Pelodiscus sinensis: one gene and its partner. The protein of the gene in region 2 binds, or shares a complex with, the protein of the main gene of each other region. Links are inferred from orthologs where the notes say so. Each region holds a gene or a part of one and is shown on either strand. Other genes may lie near its edges.

Region 1 (9,373 bases), on a different chromosome or scaffold from region 2:
TGCCGGAAAAAAGCACCAGTCTAGATGCGGATCTTTCGGAAAATAAAGCCTTTTCCAAAAGATCCCTTATCCCTCATTTTAAGATTCCCTTATCCCTCATTTTAAGGGATCTTAAAATGAGGGATAAGGGATCTTTTGGAAAAGGCTTTATTTTCCGAGAGATCCGTGTCTAGACTGGCGCTTTTTTCCGGCAAAGCTCAGAGCCGGAAAAAAGCGTCAGCCATTTTTATGCTAATGAAGCGGGGGGGATTTAAATCCCCACTTCATTTGCAATTGCGATATGTCTAATTTACATCCCTTTTACGGAAAAGGGATGCAGTCTAGACACAGACATGTGGGCTGCCCCACCAGAGAAGGACACATAACCAAGTGTTTTGACACTAGATAGGCATAAGCAGCCCATGTTTCAGTGTTATATATGCACAAACAAAACCATTTAACAAATACAGCCCACAACAAATATTTGTCTCTCTGAGACAGCGAACAGCTAGCAGTTTTCTTGGAATTTGTGGGAGGTCTGCCCCCCCCTTTATTTTTTCTAGAAATACAGTCTAAGAATAAAAGACAACAATGGCTATGAGATAGCATTAGAAGAGAGGAAAAAAAGGTGGTCAGACAGAAGCTACAGTATGTACATTATGCTTGAGTAGGTATCTGACAGAAGCTGTTTATGTGTATGAAATGTCACCAGATACAGCTCATGGGAGAAGATATCCAAGGAACTGAAATGTAACCGGGATGACAGAATTCAGACAGGCATGTCTAGGTATAATGCAGGAGAGGAAAGATGAATCGGTACCAACACCACAAGATCTAAAGATATCTGCTGAACAAAAAGAGCTGGAGAGCAAATTGCCAGAAGAGGATGGTAATCTGTGGAAAAACATCATGAGGACAAGGCAGAAGAAGAAACCACCTAGTGGTAATGAAACTGAGTTGAGGGATACATTTGTTGCACTGGGAACTGACAGAGTGGCAAGGAAGAAAAGAAGGGAAGTTCCCACTGTATCAGAGGCAGCAGTGGAGGGCAGCAGCCAGCTCCTGGGAGCACAACATGAGTGTAACCGTTTACAGTAACCGATAATCCCAGGGTTACCGGTTAACTGTTTAAATGATTATCCTGTTATGCCCCTACTTTCTAATCAAGCTATGAAATAATCTGCAAAGTCTGTGAAAATCAAGTTATTGAGCAAGTATAAACAGTGAACATAAAATAATATTCCCAGTTATAGTTTGCTCCTGTTCATGCACCAGTTGGTTCTCTGAAGTCTAGTAGGAACCTTATCTCAAAATAAATAGGCAAGCTAAGTATACCTCCATGAACCTAGGGTAATGCTAAAAGGACAAAGTGAAGGAAGCAGTACACAAAACTGATTAAGCAGTAAGTTAGAGGAAGCTTGGGAAAAAACTTTAATCTTCCCTATTAAATAAGTAATACTGCAAAAGACACCCAAGCAGGCAGATTTGCTCAAACCTTTCAGATACTGGAAAACTGAAAATAAAAGGAGAATGAGCAGTACAAGAGAATATAACTGCAATAAATAGGATGAAATTAAACAAAGTTCAGTATGAATATCAGAAAGAAAGCTTTTGACACTGCTATTTCAGAAGTCCCCTCTTGTGAGATTTAAAACAAACAGACTGAAGTGCTAGATACCATCCTATGAATCTCAGAGTCTTTTGTTTCTCTAACTTCAATAATTCAGTTTCTCATACTGCCCATCACTTTTTACATAATTAGCCTTATGTGCATGGTATCAAAGTGTTTAAGCTCCTGTACAGATTTTCTTCATGGTTCACTGCAGGAGTGGGAGTAGAAAGAGGATGACTAATAGTTTAATCAAGTATGTTTCTGAAGGGTAAAGATGATCAAGGAGCATCAAGGTGGAAGACCACAACCAAAATTTATCAGAAAAAAAAAAAGGAGGAACAAATATTACGTAATTCTCAAGTAAATAGTTTGAGACCAGCAGTCTAACACTTTTAGTCAGTCACACCATTAATTTCCAACTCACGTCAGATCATTTCCCATTTAAAATCTAAGATTATAACTGATGTACAACCCCACCCCTCCACCCACACACTTTCACAACTGTACCATTTGTGTTTGACAGCACTGTATGCAATTCAGTGTCATAGTTTCCTCTGTACAATCAGTGTCTACTTTTATTTGTTGGGTCGCACAAACAACGAGGGAGTGAAAACTTTTCAAAATAATGTATAGAACGACAGGAGGCACTTTTAAATCCCTTTTAAAGCTGCACTTGAAAAGGAATCCTCTGAACTGTCATTCATGCTAAAATTCGACACTCTATGTGGGGGTCTCAACAAAGACTCTAGCTATCTTACCCATTACAAAGATAGCTTCCCCAATCACCACCTCTAATACCATTAGTTCACAGACATTTACCTTCCCCCACCCCTCTCCATCCACCTTCTGTTCTGAAATTTGATTGTCCTTTTCATAGGTGTTCATTTTTTAAATTGTATCCTTTGGTATATATGGTTGTGACTATTTTCTTCCACTATTTGATCTGAGGAAGTGGGTCTGGCCCACGAAAGCTCATCATCTAATAAACCATCTTGTTAGTCTTTAAAGTGCTACATTGTCCTGTATTTTGCTTCAGGAGGCAACAGAGAATTCCTGTTCAAGTTCTTAAATGTGGGAACACCGGCTTTAGTTTAAAACTATTGAGGTTTCACATGAAGTATTCTTTTTAATAGATTTAACTGCAAAATATTCCAAAATAAGCAACTCACAAATCGAATCTTGGACAGCACAACTAATCTACCACTTCTACCCAACCTCATCTATTGGCCCATTAAGCTCATATTCTGTATGAAACAGCACCCAGAACTACATGCCCCAAAACAAAAATCCTGAGGCTTGACCTGAACAAGCGCCAGAACAAAACTACAGCGAGTCTCTGGTGGCTTCAGGCTCCGGAAAAACGTTTTTACCAAGTTCTCCGACTGTGGGGATCCCCCCGTTAGCAGCGCTCACCCAGGGAGCGACTGGCCAGCGCGACACGCCTCTCTGCCCCAAACCGTGAGCCCTCTGGACCGAAGGGCAGTGGAGCGGGGCGCTCGCAGGCCCCAGGAGGAGGAGACACCCAGCGCGGGCCGAGCCGCTCGCCCCAGCCCCGGGGAGCGCGGAGCCGCCGGGGAAGCCGAGCCCGCGCGGTGCCTGAGGCCGAACGCGGCCAGGCCCCCCAGCAGCGCCCGGCTCCGGCACGCGAGCGCCGCCGCTCAGGATCGGGGCCCCGGCGGCCGAGCACCGCGCGCCGCGGGGCGGGCTGACCTGTGGTGCCGTCTCTTCCGCGGGGCGGGGGGCGGCGCGTCCCGCCGGGGGGCGCTGGGGAAGAGCAGGGAGCGCAGCGCCTCCACCAGCCATTGGTACATAGGCCTCGGCCACCGGAGGCGGAAGTGCGGCTGTTTCGCGCGACGGCGTGACGTCACGGACGGAGCCCTCTCCAGCAGGCGCGGGGCGAATCGGCGCTACCTGCGCGCGGGGACCCGCCCGACCCCTTCCTCATTGGCCAGAGGCTTGTTCGGTCCTGATTGGGGGAGAAAAGGGAGGGGCGGGGACCGAGCGCCGCGCGCGTCTCTGCATCACCTTTGGCGGAGGAGCGCGCGTCTCATGGCGGTGGGCGGGGCGAGCCGGGCTCCGCCCCCGCCAGGCACCGACCCGGCTCCCTGCCACTCGCTAGTGCCACAACCCCCATCAGCACCCCCACACACACACCCCTCCCCCACTGACCAGCACACCACCCGCAACCCCCACACACACCCCTCCCCCACTGACCAGCACACCCCCACACACCCCTCCCCCACTGACCAGCACACCCCCCCACACACCCCTCCCCCACTGACCAGCACCCCCTCCACCCCCACACACCCCTCCCCCACTGACCAGCCCCCTCTACCCCCACACACACCCCTCCCCCACTGACCAGCACCCCCCCAACACCCCTCCCCCACTGACCAGCACCCCCCCAACACCCCTCCCCCACTGACCAGCACCCCCTCCACCCCCACACACCCCTCCCCCACTGACCAGCCCCTCCTCCACCCCCACAAACACCCCTCCTCCCTTGACCAGCACCCCCCCAAACACCCCTCCTCCCGTGACCAGCACACCCACCACAAACACATCCCTCCCTCACAGCACACACACCCCCACTCCTTACCCTGGCAATGCCCTCTCCCACCAACACACCACTTCACACTTTCTCCTCTTCCCCCCCCCCAAAAAAAAGCCACCCCTCTGTTTTCCACCAGCTGTTTCCTCCATCAATTTCAACAGCAAAGATTCATTCCTGGTTTCCAGCTACTGCTCACCTTCAACATTTTACCTTCTAGTGCTGGAGTGCTGCCCATTGCTTGGGTTCATGCCTCACCCTCCCTAGCATGTTTGTTATTTACAGAGCTCATGGTGGTTCCACACCTGAGCAATACACACAAATTGTTGATGGGCACCATACCAGAAGGTACTTGGTAAAGTCTTCAGTTTTGTGACTAAGCAGGACAAAAAATGTTAAACACTTCAGAAATGACCTGAGGAAGAGCTGTGTGTGAGATCCTAACCTCATCTCCCTCTGCCAAGCAAACATTGGTCCAAGAAAAGATTACCTCACTCAACTCACAATTTCAAAAATTAGTTTTGAAGCCCATTTCAAAAGCTATGTAAAATGTGTTCACCTTTTCAAAACAACTTCTACTATTCAATTAGGCATAGCCCTCAAAATCTGAAAGTACAAGTTCTTTTCATTATATGGACGTGGGGCGGGCCAAAAATAAAAATAAAATACCTTTTCTGAACATTACAAATTTACCCATGGATGGGCTGTTGCTTCTCTGTTTTCCTGAGACCTTTAGAGGTGCTTAAGTAACAAGGCTTCTCTATCGCACAGCTGACATGACGGACAAGAGGTGCAGCAAGAGTCCCTGTGCGTCATCAGTCTACTTTGCAATATACAAGCAGCTAATTTAGCAGTTCTCCACTACAGGGTGTAGCATACCAGTGATGCGTACAATCAGGTCTCCTGCTCATGGCTGAGCAATGGAATATACTAGCCTTAAGGAGTGATCTTTCAGCCTGATCTGGTAAGCGCCTGACACTTTCTGTATGAAAAGTGGACAAGAGCTGGTATGCAGCAGGACAGAGAGGTCTGGCAAGGAGAGATGCATTTTTCTGTCCTTAGGAATATCCATTCCGATTTGTGACAAGTTCTACACTGCTGAAGATTGTAACTTACCATCACAGCTCTCTGTCACCATATTAAAATACCTCAACGCCATTGATCTTCCTGTCTGTATTGCCCTAACGTCTCACTTCATTGGATCACAGAATTCATATGCCCAATAAGAGAATGGACGATGATCCTGGTGTTGCTTCCCTATTAAAACAGCCTTTGGCGTAGGAGGATGTGCATCATATTGGAAGGCAGGCATGCATGTGTTCCAATTTCATTTCCACTGACTGTTGATAAGTGGCTCTCCTTCCCAGTTGTTACTAAACATATCCCTCAAAGAGATTACCTAAGCTGGAGATAGAACCCAGGAATATGAATACAGCCAACCCAAATTTCCTCTCAGAAAGCACAGGGCATATCTTTTTCCTTAACTGTGCAGTCTGTAAATTGGGGTTATTCATGCTTACATAACACACTGAAACAGCTGATTATGCATCCTCCTCTAATGCAGGCTCACATAAGAACAGCCTCCTGCTCCCAGCCAGCAAAACCTGGTAGCCCAAGGAACAGCCATCAACGTTAACAGGTGTGGCTCCAAACCAACATGCTGGGGGTGGTGGGATTACAGTTGCACTTAATGGATTTTTTTTACCTTTTCACTGCAAGAAAAGCCAAGGCATTACATTGACAAGCTGCATTAAAAGAACTTAGGAAGGTTCACAGGGGTAGCTGTGTTAGTCTGTAACAGAAAAAAAAATTAAAAACCAACAAATGGTTGTAAAGTCACTCACTCAAGCTAGGAAATGCTCATGAAATATTGCTAATGACCCACAGAACTTTTCCCCTGTAGGACACCAATTTGAATCTAGCCCAGTTCAGGAGGGATTATAAAATGTTCTCCTCAACTGGCTGTTTGCTGGCCAGAGATGAAGGGAGATCCTGCAGCATAGAACCCTCCCTGCCACCCACACATACATTTCCCACCACTTGACCGATACAGCAGAGAGGCCATGAAGAGTAGATGACCCCAGCCATCATAATGTAAGCCCTTTCCCATACCTACCAAGGGGAAGAAAGATGAAATTCTCTGGCAGGGTCACAGCTGCTGCAAGCTTGCCCTACATTACCCCACTGTTGATATTACAAATGTGTGGTTCTACACAAATCAGTTCCTTACATAGTTTGCATGGAGCATCACCCAAGAGACCCTGTAAGTTTGGCAGCTGAGTCACCACGCCTGGCTTCTGCTCTGCTCAGCCACCTTACTTCCCACCCCTGCAATTACTCACAGCACCTGCTTCCAAACTCACTTCTACAGAAGGCCTGTGGCCAAGGCTCCTCCCAAGCAGCTGAACCTCTTATAAAGCCTCTCCTCCCTCCCTCCAAAGTAGCAGCCTCTATTCCCTTTCAATCAGCTGTGTTCACCATCCAGCAGCCAGGCAGCCTTAATTCAGTTAATCCCTTCTTTTCCAGCTTTCAAATCCCTGCTCATGGGAAGCGGGGAGTGCCAGGCGATACGGACAACCTCTGACAGGCTTTTGATCTCATTTCCTCAGTGCTGTTATTGTCTTTTCAGTCAGCCATGTCAGGTGAAGCCCCTATTGACCTTTGAACCTGACCAAGCCAACTGAAAAGTCAGCAAACTGAAGGGCTAAAATAAGAGGCCAAAAAATATAAACAACTATAAGGTTAAAAACCTCAGGAACAAATATTGCTCAGTCACTCAGGACACGCAGATTTTCCCCTTGTTCAGGACTCTGCTCTGAATATTCTCTGCTTAGCTCCTATCCTCTGCATAGCCTGCCCCAAAAGTTCAAACTCCTAAGGGTTACGTCTACACTGGCAGCTTCTTGCACAAGAACTGTTATGTTGAAGAGTTCTTGTGCAAAAAGTCTTCCACAAGAGCATGTCTACACTGGCATGTGCTTTTGCACAAGAGCATCTATGGCAGTGTGGACATTCTCTTGCGCAAGAAAGCTCTGATGGCCATTTTAGCCACAGGGGTTTCTTGCGCAAGAAATTCATGTTGCCTGTCTACACTGCCCTCTTGCGCAAGAGGGCTTATTCCTCGTGGGGAGAGGAATAACTCTTCCAGAAGAAGCCCTGTTTTCTGACTCGAGTCTGTAAATTTACTTGCACAAGAACGCACGTGCAGTGTAGACACCCAGCAAGTTTTTGCACAAGAACAGCTGTTCTTGTGCAAGAAGCCACCAGTGTAGACGTAGCCCTACACTCAGGGTACGTCGAGACTACATGGCTCCGTCGATGGAGCCATGTAGATTTGTTTGTTCGGCAAAGGGAAATGAAGCCGCGATTTAAATAATCGCGGCTTCATTTAAATTTAAATGGCTGCCCTGCTCTGCCGATCAGCTGCTTGTCGGCAGATCGGGGCAGTCTGGACGCTCCCCTGCCGACATGAAAGCCCTTTATCAACCTCCCCAGTAAATCTCATCCTACGAGGCATAATGGGGAGGTCGATAAAGGGCTTTCAGGTTGGCGCGGGAGCGTCCAGACTAGCGTGCTGAGCCGACAAACAGCTGATCAGCTGTTTGTCGGCTCAGCACGGCAGCCATTTAAATTTAAATGAAGCCACGATTATTTAAATCGCGGCTTCATTTCCCTCTGCCGATCAGCCTAATCTACATGGCTCCATCGACGGAGCCATGTAGTTTAGACACACCCTCAGAGCCCCTCATTAATCACAACATTGACCCTCAAAGCCAGACCTGGATTTACAAAGATTAAAGTGTGGTCTTAAGTCTGTCTTTTCCTTTTCGAACTTCATTTCCCCCTGAGCGTGTGTCCGAGACAGTGTCATGCTGCCTGCTCTCCTTTGAGTGCGTGTGATAGTTGTCATGCTGCCAGCTCTCTCAGGCATTCTGCCTCCTGTGGAGGCTCTCGCTCCTACCCCCTGGCCCGGAGCTTCCATCTTCTCCCCCAAACCCTGACATTCTAATTCATTAATTCTGTGTCTTGCCCTCAGCCCACACGTCTGTGCCTTCTGCAGCTCCATGTCATTCACCTAGAGTGACCAGACGTGTGAAAAATCAAGACTGAAGTGGAGTGGGGATCCTTTGGGGGGTCTGCCCCTCCGTTTTATAGTCCTCTCCTTCCTTTCAGAAGCATCTCTAGCTGGGACAGTGGCGATAGATAGACTGTGAAGATGGAAATATCATGCTGTTCCCTTGTTAAGATGTCAATTTTTTTCACTCACGTCCCTTTTCCTGCCAATGAATAGCCACTTTGCAGGTTATGGCCCATTTGATCTTGTTTACACCTGGCTGAGTTGCAGGTTGCTCTTATCTCTGAGGAACTGCTTTGCCTCTCCCCAGGCTTGGAACATAGCACCATACAGTGGAATTCATAACTTTACATACAACGGTGCTGCATATATTTGACCAGGACAATAACGATCATCAGATTGTGAGTTTTCACATGATACCTCCCAAGGCAAACCTTGTTGTGATCGGGGTCCCTGAGCAGTCATTCTTAGGTTATTCAATTAGGGCAAACTGTAAAGAATGGATCAGGCAATCTCCCAGAGCTAGTGGATATTCCAATACTTAGGCATACCAACCCAGCACAAAGCAGGTATGATAATACCTTACTGGTTACACAGAGGCTAAGGGCCAGTTCCCTTATAGCAATGCAGCTTGGGCCTCCACCTAGACACCCAAGTCAGATATGATGAGGCATAATGAAAATCTTAATCATCACAAAATGCAGGACAATGTAGCACTTTAAAGACTAACAAGATGGTTTATTAGATGATGAGCTTTCGTGGGCCAGACCCACTTCCTCAGATCAAATAGTTTGATCTGAGGAAGTGGGTCTGGCCCACAAAAGCTCATCATCTAATAAACCATCTTGTTAGTCTTTAAAGTGCTACATAGTCCTGTATTTTGCTTCAGCTACACCAGACTAACACGGCTACATTTCTATTAATCATCACAGAAGTTCTACCAATGCCAAAGGATCAGACACATTACCCACCTAATTAATGAATACTTCAGATATTACCCGAATACATGCTTACAGCCAATTCTTATTAATTAAACTAATATTTATTAAAAAAAGAATAGAGACAGAGAGAGTGTTGGTTAAAAGATCAGAATGCCACAGATGTGAGTAGAGTTCTGAGCTCAGACTCATAAAAAAGATCAGGGCTACCTATGGGG
Region 2 (9,205 bases):
AGCCAGCCAGGCCCCACCACATGCCTCGCGCGGGTTTCAAAACCCCGGGCCGTGACGTCACGTCCTCCCCACCCACGTGCAACGCCGCGCATGGGCGGCAAGGAGGAGCCGCGCGCGGCAGAGACATCCGGGGCCAATGGGACGCTCTGGGGGCGGGGCCGGAGAGGACGCGCAGGGGCGGGGCCCGCTCCAGGCAGAGCCGGGGAGAGACCCAGCTCCACATAGCGCTGGAGCAGGGCCCGGCTCTTAACTCGCCGGCACTTCCGGGTGCAGGGGCGCGGGGCCCGATTCAACCAGATGGGTCAATCAGCCTAAGGGCCAGCAGCCACCAGGCACGCTGAGGCCCGGCATTTTTTTCGGGCCGCGGACCATAGTTTGGGAAACGCTGCCTTAAGACATTACTCTGTTTACAATACAGTATTCCTTTCTCCCCAAAAACCATGGCTTTTCAACACAAGCCATTGTCCAATCCTATGAGTTGCTCTTCCTCTGAGCCAGAGTTAAACACATTTTTTTTTCCTTTTCCCTTGCAACCCACCCGGTACTCACGTATCAGCATCGTTTTACTATCAGATTTAGTTGCTGAATACCTATCACAGAGACTACATGGGTGCAGAATACAAAAGCAACTACATTGTACATTATTATTTACTAGGGAAGTTAAAATGTATTTATTTTGGTAAATGTGTATGGGTACACATTTATACCAGGGAGGGGAAGGACGGCTCGACGGATACAGAAGCAGCACCCGGGGAGGGTTATGTGTAATCGTGAAGTTTTACTGATAAACCCAGGCTTTTACATATTTACATTATCACATCTCTGGTACTTATCCAGTCTAGCTGTAACTGTAACAAGCAACGTGGCGATTTTCCACCTTTTTTCCTGATGGACTGTGCAAAATTTACCACGTCAGGCAGTGGAATAGTCTAAGATTCTCTTGGATTTAGGGATGTTAAATATTGGTTAATTGAATAGTTGAGTAACCTCATGAATTCTTATTGGTTAGTTGATTATTCTATAGTCCCCAGGGGTGGGGCTGGCAGTCACTGTATCAGAGGCAGCAGTGCAGGGTGTCAGGCAGGAGCTGGTCCATGAGGGGAGCCAGTTTAAAAACCAGTTCACCTTGAAGTCCAGCTGCCTGTTGTCCAGTGCTGCTGCCTCTAATAAAGAGGCAGCAGCGTGGGGTGGCAGCAACCCCTGTCTAAGGTGGGTCTGAGTTCCTGGACTCAGCACAAGATGGAACTGAACCAGGCTGCTTGCTTGCCTGGCTCCTAATACACTTCAAATAAAGAACCGCAGCAGGAGCAGGTACTGGACCCGGTGTGAGCCAGAACTGAGCTGAGCTGCTGGTAAGTCTGCTAAAACATGTACTGGTAAGTGTGGGGGGAGGGAAACGCATGTAGTCTATAGCATTAACCTATAAGCTTTTGCTTATTGGTTAATCGACCATACAGGCAGTCCCCAGGTTACGAACAAGATAGGGATGTAGGTTTGTTCTTAAGTTGAATTTGTACATAAGTCGGAACTGGCGTCCAGATTCAGCCACTGCTGAAACTGACCAGCAGCTGACTACAGGAAGCCTGAGGCACAGTTTCTCTGCCCCGGGCTTCCTGGAATCAGCCACTGATCAGTTTCAACAGCAGCTGAATCTGGATGCCTCGGACAGAGCAACTGGGGCGCTGCCGGGTAGGTCCCTGCAGCGCCGCACCTCGGCGCTGCGGGGACCAAACCGGCAGCACCCCAGCTGCTCTACCCCAGGTGTCCCCAAGTCAGCTGCTGCTGAAACTGATCAGCAGCTGATTCCAGGAAGCCCAGGGCAAAGCAACTCTGCCTCTGGCTTCCTGTAGTCAGCCGCTGCTGGTCAGTTTCAGCAGCGGCTGACTTGGGGACGCCTGGGGCAGAGCAGCTGGGGTGCTGCTGGATTGGTCCAGTAGCGCCGAGGAGCGGCGCTGCGGGACCAACCAGCAGGGCCCCAGCTGCTCTACCACAGGCGTCCGCAAGAAAAGCCTGCTCTGCTGGGGGGGGGGGGAGGGCGCACTAGCTGCATCCCCCCCCCAGCAGACCAGGGAGACGCAGGCAGTGGGACCGAGGCGCGTCTGGGCAGTCCCGCCGCCCGCGCCCTCCGGGGCGAGAAAAGCCCCGTTCGTAAGTACAGATCCGACATAAGTCGGAGCCGCGTAACCCGGGGACTGCCTGTACTATTACACCCCTACTTTGATTGACTCAGTCTTCTGATCTTGCTTGAATATGTTTCATACTATATTAGATAATTCTTCTTCATTTGGTAATTGCACACGAGGCTTTTGTGGATTCTTAGTAGGGCTGTAAAATCCCATTTAAAATGTTAACCAATTAAACTATATGTTAACTGGTTGACTATATGTTGCAGGCGGGGGGGGTGGGTTGGAGAAAGAGGGGGACACTTGAGCAGCCCCTCGGATGGCCTGCTACACTGCATCATGAGGCTGCTTCAGCCTAGCCAGGCCCCAGCCTGGTGCGCCGTGGGCAGGGGCTGCTCTGGCCAGTCAACTGGTTACCCCGGTAAATATACCGGTAGGGCAATGCTTGCCAGGTAATTGATTAACCCTCTACATCCCTAATTCTTAGCTCAGTTTTGACTAATGAGTGGCCTAAGTGATCTCAGAAGTTTTTCTCTCTCAGGATATGTCTACATTACAGCAACTACAGGTTCACATCACTACTCTACTTCCCAATAAGCATATGCTTATCGGGTAGCTGACTAGTCACTTACATCCCTAGTGCTGGGAATGGTCTCACATTGGACTGCTTCCTGAGTCTGCAGATTTGGGGGGGGGGGGGGGGTGGCTCTGTCCCTGTGCTGCAACAGGCTGAAGAGACAGGCTCAACAACATAGGCTCACAGCTGTAAGGGAAAACAGGCTTTGTGATGTCTCAGCACCTCAGGCGACAGACCCAAGGTGGAGGGTTGCCCAACCCATCACACTCACCCCAGAATGACATAAGTTATACTGAAGCAATCTGTAGTGCAGAGATAGCCACACTAATAGATGATCTGATAATAGCTATTACCACACACACACACTCCTCCGTCTCTCTAATATCCTGGGACCCACAAGGCTACAGCACCACAGGAAGCTGTTTGCCCAGCTGCTTGCTCGGTGACACACTCCGACCGCCCTCCCCCCGACTTCCGCGGCTGCTCTCTGCGGTTACGGCTCCCTGGCGATGTACTCAGGGCGCGACGCGCCAGGTGAGGCTGCCCCAGCGAGCCTCAGTGATGCAACAAGCCTGGCTGCGCAGCACAGAGTCACTCACCCGCCCGGCCCGGCGGCCGAGCCCAGGGGAAGCGGCAGCCACAAGAGCAGCGCGGCTTGGGCCGGGCCACGCAGCAACCGGGCGGGACTCGGCTCCCGGAGCGCGTGGCGCGGCGGGCAGGGGGCGCAGGACCAGACGCCCGGGGCACCCCCCACCCCGCCCCCGAGTCGGGGGGCAGCCAGGAGGGGACGCCCCCGCACAGGCGCTGGGAAACCCCGCCGGGGCGCTGCGCCAGGAGGGGCCCCGCGCACACCGGGCTGGAGAAGCGTCAGGATCCCGCTCCCCGACCCCGCCAACTTCCTGGCGACCCTACAGTAAACAAGCCGCGCGGCCCCTGGGCCCGCTCACCTGCGCGCGCTGCCGTCGGGTGTGGGTCGGACGCGCCCGGCTCCAGCCTGTCACGCCGAGGCCGATGGCGCAGGGGGAGGCGGAGGATTTCAAACCCGGCAGTTTTGTTTTCCCGGCTCTGATTGGCTCGCGAGGCCTCTCGCCCGCCCGTCGCGGTGGCGTAGGCGACAGTTCTTCCCCGTGCGGCATGCTGGGAATTGTGGTTTCCTTGGAGACCCTGGTGAGGTTTGATGCGCGGCAGAGAAGACTACGAGCCCCGTGATGCATTGCGCTGGGGGCTCGCTGTGCCGTGGAGCAGGCCGGGAATTGTAGTTCCACAAGAGAAGAACGCGGCGTGGACTATCGTTCCCAGGATGCCTCGCGCAGCGCCGGCTATTAAAAGGGAGAGGGCGGGCAGGCGAGGCAGAATCGGAGGTCAGAGGCCTGGTGGGTACCTGGCTGTGCGTCACTAGGAGTTTTGTTGCGGTTTTCGTTCAGAGTGGGTAGCAGCTATTTCCATTCTCGTTTGAACCTGCCGGTTCCACAGCTGGGATGGTTGCCAAGCTTTGAACTTGCAAGTCCTGCAGCTCCATGCGACTGTCAAAGTTTACCAGAAACATTTGGTACACACACAGCATGTGCATGGACGTGTTGGGATGCAATTAAATGCTTTGATGTAAGTCATTAGAGAGATGAGTGTGACTCACTAACAGACCAATGTCTGTTGTTAAAAGAGAGAAGTGTTCAAGTGAACACAGTGATAGAAATGTAGCCGTGTTAGTCTGGTGTAGCTGAAACAAAATACAGGACTATGTAGCACTTTAAAGACTAACAAGATGGTTTATTAGATGATGAGCTTTCGTGGGCCAGACCCACTTCCTCAGATCTGAAGAAGAGCTCTGTGTATGTAGCTCAAAAGCTTATTTCTCTCACCAACTGGAGTTGGTCTAGTAAAAGACATTATTACCTCACTTACCTTATCTCTCTAATATCGTGGGACTGACATGGCAACTTCAACATGACATACTCTCTTATCAGTCTATAAAGAACAGAAATGAGAAGTCAGACTGGTTTTAAGACTTACTACACCCTGATGCTCAACTTTTGATAGTATTTGTTCATACAATGTTATAAGTAAATCAGATTATTTTTCTTGTAATATGTGAAAGCATTTTCTCACTTCTGTGCACACTTTATATTTGTTTTATAGCATGCAATGGTTTGTTGTTAAAATAGAATTAACACAGAAATTATACTAATGGCATTTTTTTTACAAAGACATCAAGAAAGAGTGGTTAGATGAGGTGATGTGTTATGATACTTATTGATTATGGTTGTAAGTAGATATGGAACCAGTAGTAAGGCTCAAGAGATATCTACTGGTTTTCTACAGTCTCTGTTATTTGTGAAGTATTTGAAGTAAATAATATGTGCATGAAATAGGTGAACAAGGATTGTGTAAAAGAAAGAAACTACAAGATGTCAAGTACAGAAAAGCCATTGACAGGATTGAGTCCATCTGGCAAAACTGAATGGTGTACTCCTGGAGGAATTCTGCACTAGTGGGCGTGCCCTGCTACATTCATTACACCATCCTGCTCATGGAGACAGATTAGGAAACACAGAATATGGGGGGAGAGAGAAATCACAGACTGGGGCAAGGGCATAGGTGCTTATGGGGTGACAACATTGAGTTAGGAGTTGATTAGCAAGGGACTGTAGGGTTACATGGTGACTGGAGGTAGAGGACTGCCAGGACAGATGAGGATGGGGGTGATGGGACTGTAGGGATGCATGGGAACTGGGGGAGGAATGGGGCAGATGTGCCTGATTGAATGGGATGGGGTCAGTCAGCATCTGCATGTGGGATTCTCCCTAACATACTTTCCCCCAAAAAAACAGTTTTATACTTCTTCCATCCACACCAATAACCCTCCAAGTTCACTCCCAGGCTCCTTCCATCTCCCTCACCTCCTATGCTACTTATGATTCCGCAAAGCCTTTAGATTGCTTCTGAGGGGTGTGGGAAATACCTTTCTATATTGTAGCTTAAATGAATTACTTGAAGTTCCTTATTAATTTGCCTAGGAATTTCAGGAATCTATTTGTTTGAAAAAATCCTTTTTTTTGTCCATATTATTAGAGACATATTTGCTGACAGATATTTTGAAATAAATTACCAAATAATTGAAACTGGCATAATTATATGGTGTTATTTTAACAAATACAATTTGGAGAATTTTAAAATATTGTATGTCGAATTTTTATTTTTTGGCACAGGATTTTTAATTTTTGGTGCAAAAATGGACACTCTTGCGCAAAACAGTTCTTGCGCAAGAAGCCTGCAGTGTAGATGTAGCCTAGCTCTGTGGATCTGCTGTTCAGCTGAGCAGCATTTGAATCTCTCCTGAGCAATCACATAAGCACATAGCTTACAGGGAGCTCTGATTATGACACAAGAAGGGGAGCCTGGATGTGTATATGTTCATGATCCAGTGCCAAAGAATAATGCTGCAACTTTTTCCATGATATTTGAGGCAGAGAAAGAGGTCAAAGGAAAGGCCTCAACCATGAAGGAGAGGCAGAAATATATTCTTCAGTGACTAATCACAGTGTATGAAGCCATCTGGGCTGTGAATTTGCAACGAATTTTGAAAGATGATTTAATGCTTGTCCTTTTGGCATTAGGATAGAGAAATGGCAGTCTGAGAACAAGCACAAAAACAATACTGACAGCTGGTGTCCATTGCCCACCCAAAATTATCCCTATTGGGAGAAACTGTAAGGAAAACCTTGCAATATTTTTATCTGAGCGACTAATTACACAAGCACCACCAGATAAAATCTTTGTTCTGACTTGTGGTTTTCAGGCTGAAGCTGAAGTCTGGTGCTGGACAGCAATAGTTGACCCCCACCAGCTGTGTACTCATCAGGAAGAAACAGACATAAGAATTATTTTACAATGTCTCCATGGTGAATGCCATCAGTGTGGTTGCTAAAGTCAGGAGCTCTGATGTGCTTAATCTTTTGCTGGCTCGCTATAGCAAAATGGCATATAGACAACTTTGGATGAAAACTAGCACATCAAAGGAACCAAAGTACTTTCCTAGTCATGCCATTTGTGTGTGAGCAACTACAATATGGGGCCACTTTTGGAAACTCTGCTCCCATCTCATGCCCTGAGTGGGTGTGATGCTACCTCTTTTATTGCTGGACCAAGCAAAAAGATTACATGGCTTTAACACACATTGGACAGAGTGAGCTGGACTCAGAAAAGATTAAAAGTACAGGTTTCTTTGTAAGATGTATAGCTTGCCAGAGGTCACCACTGACAAAGCACATGTCATTTTGTTCACGTACTTGTGGTTATCAGTAACTATACTTTATCAATGAAGGTGCTAACTACTTTCTGAATGGTATCCTTCCTGCCTTATCTATCCACAGACATTGATCTTTATCTACTCAGGTTTAGCACCCTTTCTCCCTATACTTTATGCACAGAGGTAGGAGGGTGGGCAACAGAACATCTTTCCCCCCCCCCCCTTCCCTTCTCCTATTTATTTTGAGTTTCCTTATCCTCTAATCATAACTCTGGTCATCTGAAGAAGTGGGCTGTGCCCACAGAAGCTCATGATACCATCTACATGTTTTGTTAGTCTATAGAGTGCTCCCAGACCATTTGCTTGCTGTTTTTTTTCTGTAACAGACAAACTCGGCTACCCCCTGAAGCTCCTGTACTTCCAACAGATGGCGCTCTTTTCTTCCACATAGAGATTGTTATTAAGCACTAGTTTGGAAACAGACCCACTGCCCAAATCTAGTACTTCCTCTTCCAAATAGAGTGCTTTGGAAATAGGAGAACAAGGATCTGGTGCTATAGTTGCTGTCAAAAGCATTTACGCAAGAGGGCTTTTGCCCAAATGGGAGCAGCATAGTATTTCCACAAGAACACTGACAATCTTACATGAGATCGTCGGTGTTCTTGCAGAAATTCAAGCGGCCAGTGTAGACAGCTGGCAAGTTTTCTGCTTTTGCAGAAAAACTTGCCAGTCTAGACGCAGCCGGTATGTAAATCAGCAATGACTTGTTTTTATAGCAAATGTAGAGCACTGGAACAAGATTGTGTGGAGGCACCTGTTCCTCAGTGTTTTAAGGCCAGTATTAACAAATATGTAATACAGGCAGTCCCCGGGTTACGTACAAGATAGGGACTGTAGGTTTGTTCTTAAGTTGAATCTGTATGTAAGTCGGAACTGGCATCCAGATTCAGCCGCTGAATCTGGACACCAGTTCTGACTTACATACAGATTCAACTTAAGAACCCCAGGGTCCCCAAGTCAGCTGCTGCTGCAACTGATCAGCAGCTGATTCCAGGAAGCCCGGGGCAGAGCAACTCTGCCTCGGGCTTCCTGTAGTCAGCCGCTGGTCAGTTTCAGCAGCGGCTAACTTGGGGACGCCTGGGGCAGAGCAGCTCGGGTGCTGCTGGGTTGGTCCAGTAGCGCAGCTGCTCCTCGGCTGCAGACCAGGGAGACGCTGAGCAAAGCGGCGGAGGACCCGGGGCCGGACCCGCGGCCGCTTCCAGATCAGCTGGAAGCGCTGCGGGTCTGGCCCCGGGTCCTGCGCCGCTTTGCTCCCCGTCTCCCTGGTCTGCTGGCTCCTGCAGCAGACCAGGGAGATGGGGAGCAGCTTTTCTCGCCCCGGAGGAGGCGGGCGGCGGGACCAGGCGTCCCGCCGCTCCAGTCCTCCGGGGCGAGAAAATCCCTGTTTGTATCTGCGGATCCGACATAAGTCGGATCCGCGTAACTTGGGGACTGCCTGTATGTCACAGTAAATGACCAAATAAGACATTAATTCAATCTGCCCTTGTGGTCCAAGTTTTCTTGAAATAGTACAATATTAACGTGCTTAACTTGTATGCATTAAAATGTTATCTCCATGTTTAGTAAAGAAAATGTTTTCACTTATTTTAAAAATGAGTGTTTTCAAGATTGTGTTGGATTCCTGATAGTTAAATCAAAGTACATACTTATGTTTCATGTTGCCTGTGCTGCAATTATAAGAGCCAGCTAAACATGCTGTTTCATGATTGTGTAACATATTACAATATTTCCAGTGCCTCTTGTGACATTGAAATTCAATAGTTCTATTAAAAAGTTGTGCACATTAGTGGATGACTTTAATTACATCCTACAGCCCATTAAGATCCACCTTTGTTCCCTTTGTAGAGACCTTTATACATACATACATATTTACAGCATGCTAATAACCATATTTGGATTCAGCAAAAGCTAATTATCTTAAAAAGACTTGTTACCAACTTTAAACAAATACTGGCAATCCTAAGATTTACAGCACATTTGGTTCCTGAAAATTGCATCATAAGTTGAAACGTCATAGCTAGGAACTGCAATCCACTCCATTGTGGGACCAAGCATCGTAAAAGTCAAAAACAAAGTCATAAGTTGAATTGGGGTATCAATTCAGATATGTTGTGTCATTCACTAGAAAATCGAGGACTGCCTGTAATGCTTTATAATGGGATTAGTCAGGAGAAGATGAGGAATTTCAAGAGGTAGTGA

What was found.
Region 1: the proteins of RANGAP1 (region 2) and SENP2 are in contact, whole or in part, in a crystal structure (PDB 2IO3), measured with the Homo sapiens proteins. The link is inferred for Pelodiscus sinensis from reciprocal best matches to the Homo sapiens genes RANGAP1 and SENP2. Residues at the interface, in NP_001265580.1 of Homo sapiens: Glu467, Asn508, Thr511, Thr514, Arg515, Val518, His519, Leu523, Lys524, Ser525, Glu526, Asp527, Val529; in NP_067640.2 of Homo sapiens: Tyr408, His409, Trp410, Val477, His478, Asp495, Met497, Gly498, Gln499, Lys500, Pro536, His537, Gln541, Gln542, Asn544, Gly545.

Annotation. Positions count from the first base shown.
Region 1 is NC_134720.1:3,563,188-3,572,560, forward strand, and holds the start of SENP2 (sentrin-specific protease 2), read right to left. Parts: upstream 3,461-9,373; 5' UTR 3,403-3,460; coding exon 3,302-3,402; intron 3,248-3,301; exon of another isoform or gene 3,005-3,247; intron 1-3,004. UniProt on the Homo sapiens protein: Protease that catalyzes two essential functions in the SUMO pathway.
Region 2 is NC_134711.1:89,277,620-89,286,824, reverse strand, and holds the start of RANGAP1 (ran GTPase-activating protein 1), read right to left. Parts: upstream 3,784-9,205; 5' UTR 3,648-3,783; intron 2,994-3,647; exon of another isoform or gene 2,972-2,993; intron 2,887-2,971; exon of another isoform or gene 2,756-2,886; intron 1-2,755. UniProt on the Homo sapiens protein: GTPase activator for RAN. Converts cytoplasmic GTP-bound RAN to GDP-bound RAN, which is essential for RAN-mediated nuclear import and export. Mediates dissociation of cargo from nuclear export complexes containing XPO1, RAN and RANBP2 after nuclear export.